Linked DNA regions of Danio rerio. The protein of the gene in region 2 purifies or fractionates together with the protein of the main gene of each other region. This does not show direct contact. Links are inferred from orthologs where the notes say so. Each region holds a gene or a part of one and is shown on either strand. Other genes may lie near its edges.

Region 1 (4,346 bases), on a different chromosome or scaffold from region 2:
TATAGCATTACAAGTAGAGATGGGGGAAATGCCTCTAAAAATTAGAAGAATTAAGTTAAAAATGAGATATTGGGTTAGCATTAAAAGCCAAGAAGAGAGGCACCCAGTAAAAACAGTACTAAAGGAATGTTGGGAATATGGACATAAAAAGATAGATAGTTTTGGTTGGACAGTAAAAGACGAGGCTCAAAATATGGGCATAAGAGACATCAATTTAGCCCCTGCTGTGCCAACCTCTGCGATTCCGCCTTGGCTTTTCCATAAACCAGTAGTCGATTTATTACTACATGAGGAAAAACACAAAAATAATATGTTAAATGAAAAAGAAATACAACAATACATAAATCAGTCATATTTCAATTATTTACAGATATATACAGATGGGTCAAAAGATCCTAAAGATGAAAAAACGGCAGTAGTAGTTTACATCCCAAAATTCAATATTAAAATATCAAAAAGAATAACGGACCGACTTTCTGTGTACACTACAGAAATTGTAGCTATACTTCTTGCTCTTCAGTGGATAGAAGACGTGAAACCATTAAGATCAGTAATATGCTCCGATTCTCTGTCAGTACTAAACAACTTAATTACTGGAACATCTAAGGCAAGACAGGACATAATGAATGAGATAATGCAAAATTTATTCAGAATCAGACAGGGTGGACTTTTTGTAAGCTTCTTGTGGATTCCTGGTCATATGGGAGTAGTAGGTAATGAAGAGGCAGACCAACTTGCAAAGGAAGCATTACAACATACTCAGATAGAAATAAAAATAAAAATAAGTAAGTCAGAGGTAAAAAACATAATTGCAAAAGAAACAGGTAGAATGTGGCAAAGGGAGTGGGATAATGGAGAAAAAGGCAGACATATGCATAATATTCAAGGATGTGTGGGTGGTACTAGAAATAAGTTTAGTAATAGAAGGAATGATGTGGTAATAACTAGGTTGCGTGCTGGTCATTGTTTGCTAAACCAGTATAAGTTCAGAATAGGGAAGCACGAGACAGGATGTTGTGATAAATGCGGGAAAATAGAAACATTAGAACATGTAATTACAGAATGTGTGGCATATGACAATCAGAGATATCAGTTAGTTCAAGGATTAAGTATTTATGGGATTAAAAATTTGTCATTTCAGACCCTATTAGGAAACAGTTCAAATCAAGTTGAAATAATAATGCAATTAATTAATTACTTAAAGGAAACAAAATTGATTAATAGAATTTAAGAATAGCTTAGCAAAATAAGGAAATAAAATTTACTATGATTTTTAACTAGTATTTTTTTTCTTTCTTTCTCTCCTCTCCTCCTACTGTTATTACTGTTCTCTCTTCCCTATGGTAATCTCATCCCTCCATTCGTATCATATATCTTTAGTACTCATGCTTTTTCCAACATTATGCGCTCCACACTCCTATCCAGTAGGTGGCGGAAATGCACCATTTAAGTTGGTCTGCCAACCGCCATTAACCCCATAAGAAGAAGAAGAATTTCATTGGTTGTCCGTTTTGTGTTGTGTGTGTGGCTGCTGGCTAACGAGAGGTAAGTGAGTTATGTAAAACTGCCTTCATAATTTGTATAACTTTAGCCATTCTTGCGACTTTCAGTGTTCATTATTTTATAACGGTTGAGTCTTTAGCTTCAAATAATCTTTCATTTTACACAGTAACGTTTGAATCGGTCCGAGAAGAGCCAGTAGTGTCGCAGTCATGCCGCCTGGGCCTGTGCAGATCATGCAGCCGGAGCTGAATAACAAGGTATGAAGCTTTCAGAATTTATTACTTTCATAGACACGATGGGTAGGTTTATCCGATTTATATTCATCTGCTTACATTTTTCGTCTTTCATAAGTATAATACTGGGCATTATTGCAATTTTATAATTTATTGTTTTGAGTAGAAGCATTACTTGTTTAAAGTTAAACTTTAATGTATATGTTATCTGTTTTGTTATCTTTTGTAGCAGTCATTGTTGTATATATTCCCAGCATAATGTTGTTTTATTATTAGTATAAATATAATATAATATAAAAATATATATTATGTAAATGTACTGTTTTATTTCCCAAAATCGATGTGGTCAAAGACAACCATTTTAAAAGATAACGTAGTAGTGTCTACTTTATTGTTTAGAAAAAAAGGTTAATAAAAATTAAGATCTAAAAATATATATACTTTTGTAAAAAATGACAACAACAACAAAAGTAAACTTACATGTACTTATTAAAATAAGTAAATGATCCTTCTGCATTTTATTGTTTTTTCTTTAAGTAAAAATTTGGATAATAGATAGTTAAATTTGAAATATTTCATTTGCTTATTTTGGGGGCTGCAATGTGATCTTTAAATGTTTTTCTAATGTCATCAAAATATTCTTCAGATGTTAATTGAATAATTATTCTTATTTTTCTTTATAATGAAAAAAATATAAATACACAAATTACTTGTTAGTTTATAAATATACATATATTGTTTTGATTCTTAAATTAAAAATGAATATGCAAATTCTATATACAAATAATATTTAAAAATTAGGGGTGTTTGAATTGAATGTAAATTTATTGATATTTATTGTAAAAACTAATTAGTTTGTAATATAAATTTCAGTTTATTATCAGATTCTGTTTTATTGATGTTGTGAAATGAGAAAGGACAGTTGTGCAATTATAATAAAAAGTAATAATTTTAAGGACCATTTACAGTGAGAAGTGTATTCTGTTGTACAATAGAAACACTTTTGGCTGCAGTAAATCCAATTCGCTTGATTTTTTTCTGTTTATCTGATATGGTATTCTCACATAACATGGTAAAGTTTCTGAGATTGACACCACAAGCATCACCCATGCTTCAATATTTGTGTAGTAAATGAAACTGTGGCATTCATTCAGAAACACGCCTCATAAATATAGACTTTGTATTTAACTTATATTTTAGTGGTCTTAAAATTCTCACACAATAGTACACATCACAACTTCATTTTAAGGACATGATTAGTTTTAATGTATTAATTCAAAGCTTGTAACATTTAATGACATTGTATAATTAATTCCATATTTATGACTGTATTCTGTGATTTTTGTTTGTGTTTTCTGTATTATTTTGCTCATATTAAATAAGCTATGAGATGTTTTAATCAACAGCCCGAAGAACCGAAAGAAGAAACTCCAGCCACAAAGCCCATAGTGGGAATCATCTACCCTCCTCCTGAAGTGCGAAACATCGTTGACAAGACTGCCAGCTTCGTAGCCAGGTTTGACATCCTACCACATATATCATGTAGTGCAGTATTTCATTTGTGTACTTTTATTAAATCAATAATTAATTCCATTTATTTTGTCAAAGGAATGGACCCGAGTTTGAGGCCAGAATTCGACAGAATGAGATCAACAACCCAAAGTTCAACTTCCTCAACCCGAGCGACCCATACCATGCCTACTACCGACACAAGGTCAATGAGTTCAAGGAGGGCAAAGCTCAGGAACCATCCGCAGCCGTTCCTAAAGTCATGCAGCATCCTCAGCAGCTTCCTCAGAAGGTCAGCAACTTCTCTGTGGCTTTATATAAATATTATCAATATTATAGATGTAGACAGATAGTTTTATAATAGTTAAAATCAAGCCATAATCCAGCAGACAGATATAAAAAATTTTAATAGCTTTCTATGTTATAAAGAGCTTATGTTTTGTGATTATTTAGGTCCAAGCACAGGTGATCCATGAGACGGTGGTGCCAAAAGAGCCTCCACCTGAGTTTGAGTTCATTGCTGACCCTCCCTCCATCTCAGCCTTTGACCTGGATGTGGTGAAACTGACCGCACAGTTTGTTGCCCGTAATGGCCGTCAGTTTCTCACACAGCTGATGCAGAAGGAACAGAGGAACTACCAGTTTGACTTTCTCCGGCCACAGCACAGTCTGTTCAACTACTTCACAAAACTAGTGGAGCAGTATACAAAGGTAAATTATACTTTTTAGAAATGCTGAGGGCTTATTGGTTTGCAAAGAGATTAGAGATGTTCAGTATTTTTTCCTCTAATAATATTTTTGATTAATGTTTAAAAAAATGCAAGCTCAATAAATTAGCAAAAAAATTATTAAAACAATTATTCCATTTGTGAAAGCATTTAGAAGATACATTAGGGCTGGGGAAAAAATTGGTGATTTCCATGCACATTTTGTCAATAAAGCAATAAAAGTAAAGTAAGCTACATTCAGCTGGAGCAGCATTTGCCACACATAATTCACTATAAAGCTACACAAAACTTGCAACACTTGATGAATCTGTAGTTGTGTCTTTATTAATTAGTCTGAATTAGCGAAAGCAGTTAAAGTTTCCTTTTTAACACA
Region 2 (3,654 bases):
TGTGAGGAGCAAAATTACACATTTGACATTGGATCTGTTAAAACTAGGGTTGCCAAATGTCCCATGATAATCATGTATATTAGGTCTAATTGATTTGAACTGCCCATGCTAAATGTGCGCAGCATTTCTTTGTTAGGATCATTATTTAAAAGTGCAGTATGTGACATCTAGTGGATGAACTAGGTATTGCAGTCCAAATTCAAAATATTGGATTTTTTTTCCCACCCAGCCCCTCCTCAGGTTGCTGAGACCAGCAGGAGTGAGCCAAAAGTCAAAGTATTCACACAAGTAGATTGACATTACATATGAAGTCAATGCAAACGCGATCGAAAAGGAGCATTTCTACAGTGCAGCGCAAATATTTTACTTGTTTTTGCCTGTCTTTTTTTTATTTATTTTATTGCCACATCAGCAATGTTTGGCTATTTCATGGCAAGATTAAAACGGATTAAAACAAACAACAAAATATTTATGCAACTTCAAATAATTCAACTCGAGCAGAAAATTAGCTTGAGGTAAATAAACATCACTCACTCTAGTTTACTCACGGGAAGCTTAAAGTTGGTGTGAACCAGCATTACACTATAAGCTTCTCAGCTAATGTTTGTGTTTGTAACATTTTTCTATTGTTTGCCAATTTGAAACTACCTCATGTTAATTTTTATAACTCAGAATCTACATCTTATTTTAAAGGCCCGCATACATTGAGACGGCAGTCTTCAACCAAGGCAACCTGGGGTGCCAAAATATAATGGCTAAAAATCGCAGTAGGCAGAGTTACACAGACCAAAACAAAGACAGACCTTCATACAATTTCAAAGTAGAACAACTGACATCAGCATTGTTTTTTCAGATAAACAAGCAAGTTCACTTACAGGGCTCGAAATTAACTTTTTTACTTGGTAGCACCAGTGCTCCCGACATCAAAAATTTAGGAGCACCCACCAACAATGATTGAGCACCGCTGCAAATTGAATTTTAAGGGATTTACTGTATTTTAAAACAACATTAATTAGGACTAACAAAAACCAGAAACAACTATCTAACTAATGCTGAAATGACATTGATATTTGTGTGCAATAATTCCAAAATGAATGTCGAATAATTATAAAATATTAATGTTGATGAAAATGACGATAATAGTAACAATGAATTACAGTTCTCATCATCATGCTGCCTTGAATGTGCTTGAATGCAGGTTATCTGCTATAAAAAGTCTGTTACTTTATGAGAAATAAATGTATAGTTTGCATCAAACAAAAATGAAGCATTGCAGTAAGAAATATTTATTTTGTACTGCTGTTAATATATGCATGTCAGTTTAATAAATAATATTTCTGCCATAAAACAAACAAAAGATTATAATAAATAATTAAATTCAAGCCTGAAAGCAGCAAAACAGTCATCAGTAACTAAATAAAAAAATAAATAATATACACCTCTAGAAAGAATAGACAAAACAAAGTAAGTAAAGTCTCACTTCTATCACTCTTTAAAAGTTTTGGTTTCAGTTTGTGTCAATTTAAAGGTTCAGTCTGAGCTGATCTTCATTTTTCTGTGTTTGTGGAAAAGCAGGCGAGTCAACCGACCCAATTTATGAGCAGGCAGAGCAGGATTCTTGCGATGACCATCGGCGCAATACCACTGTTTATGAGCCGCAGCTTCAGTGTGAACTTAGTAAAGGCGAGCTTCTTTGGCGATGATATGTCCAGTATTAGATTTAACTTTTAGCGGACATTTGCGCTGAACACGCAGTGAATGCAACGCATCGAGATTCGGGCGCCTTCTCCGAAAAGCACATGGTCGATTGATCTCAGCTGGCGGATCAATATTCACCACATGTCATGATCGCTTTCATCTGCGCCTCAACTTTAGGTGGGGTTTGCAAACCTGTGTGCTTTAAGTTTTCACTCTTCAGCCGTTTGCATTTCCCGTGGTCATAAAAGCTTCTTCCCTGTCACCTGACTGCGGAATATCTTGAGTGATTGACAGCTAATATGAACCAATATAGCGGCAGGGAAGACCGATTTAGCACGTTTTTAGAAAAAATCTAAACAGGTCACACTACAACCATTATCTGCAGTCGCACTAATGCTCCCATATATATTATGAGGTTGCATAGATTATTCTCGGGCGCATTTGCGACCAAAACAGTCGCAATTTCGAGCCCTGACTTCGCATATTTCTGAAATATCTGCAAAAATATTATGGATATTATAGTATTAATAGTCCAAAACTTACATACAGCCCCTTTAATTATAAAAGAGACAACGAACAATTTGATTGCAAAAGAAATCTGACATATGAAATGGCCAATTAAAAAATAAATCAAGATCAGCTAATCACAGTGAAATATCAGTATCGTCCTTAAATTAAAAGTAACAAAGCTGGCAACATATAATGCTGTGCTGTTATAGTGTTTCTATACCTCAATAAGGGCCTGACTGGCTTCTTCACTCAGTCTGGGATGTACAGTTGTGCGAGCGAAGGCGATGTAGTCTTTCAGTACAGCCATGTCCAGATGCTCCTCTTCAATCTGCTCTTCACTCTGATAATACAGAGAGACAAGGTGGTGCGCCAGACGCCTGTCATACGCCTCGTCCTGAGGGTCCAGCATTAGGAAGATCAAATCAAACCTGGAAAAAAAACAGATGCAGAGAGACAATTATTAGACAAAAGAAGAAAAAAAAACATTAAAATAAAAAGCAGCTTATGTTGAACTAATATTATGAATAATTAATAATCTTTGAGATCACAAAAGTAAAAAAAAAATTAAGTTCTTTTATGTAAATTTGCCCTATTTGTTAATAAATGTCTTTAAAGTTAGTTTATAATTTAATTTGACAACTAATTTAAATTAAACACTTCTATACTGACAAAACTAATATTTAATTATATCATCCAAATGTTTTTTTTCTTTACTTTTAAACATTAAAATTATCACATAATTATTGGCATTTCACATAAACACTGCACTTAGGAAGTTGGTTCCCAAATAATATTAAGCAGCACAACACTTTGCATTACAAAAATGTAATACATCCTAAAAGAAAACATCTATTTTAAACTGTAATTATTAAACATTACATTTTTACTTTATTTTTAATCTAATTAATGTTAACTAATATTTTTCAAAACACATTGTTTTAAATATTCAGCAGATGATTAATATACATTATCCGCTATAAATACGGTTGTTTAATTTGTACCTGGACAGCAGTGTGTGAGGCAGCTGAATGTTCTCTATCGTTGTCTTTTTGGGGTTCCACTGAGACTCCACCGGATTGGCTGCTGCGAGGATGGAGGTCCGAGCATTAAGCTGACAAATAATCCCAGCCTACGAAACACACACACAATCCTGCATTAATCATCAGTTCAAACAAATGCATTGCAATTCCAAACCCAATCCTTCATGCACCTTCAGATACATGTCGGTATTCATTAATTCGATATATTGTGATAATGAACATGCACAATATTGATATCACAGGTACCTCAAAACACCATGATTAATTGTTTAAACATTTGAGTGCCTTTTAAGAAAATGTTGTATTAGTTTGTTGTATTAGTATTGGTTAGGTTATTTTCAAAAAGTAAGACTTACTGAATCTGAGACTATTTATAGGCCTTTTGTTCATGAATTCTGACTCATTA

The links.
Region 1: the proteins of mcm4 (region 2) and sf3a1 fractionate together in Homo sapiens (co-fractionation; 3 studies listed by BioGRID, with this or other methods). This does not show direct contact. The link is inferred for Danio rerio from reciprocal best matches to the Homo sapiens genes MCM4 and SF3A1.

Annotation. Positions count from the first base shown.
Region 1 is NC_133183.1:43,422,317-43,426,662, forward strand, and holds the start of sf3a1 (splicing factor 3A subunit 1), read left to right. Parts: upstream 1-1,527; 5' UTR 1,528-1,545; exon of another isoform or gene 1,546-1,549; intron 1,550-1,669; 5' UTR 1,670-1,712; coding exon 1,713-1,760; intron 1,761-3,142; coding exon 3,143-3,252; intron 3,253-3,344; coding exon 3,345-3,537; intron 3,538-3,698; coding exon 3,699-3,956; intron 3,957-4,346. UniProt on the Homo sapiens protein: Component of the 17S U2 SnRNP complex of the spliceosome, a large ribonucleoprotein complex that removes introns from transcribed pre-mRNAs.
Region 2 is NC_133199.1:39,257,333-39,260,986, forward strand, and holds part of mcm4 (DNA replication licensing factor MCM4), read right to left. Parts: intron 3,338-3,654; coding exon 3,210-3,337; intron 2,637-3,209; coding exon 2,429-2,636; intron 1-2,428. UniProt on the Homo sapiens protein: Acts as a component of the MCM2-7 complex (MCM complex) which is the replicative helicase essential for 'once per cell cycle' DNA replication initiation and elongation in eukaryotic cells.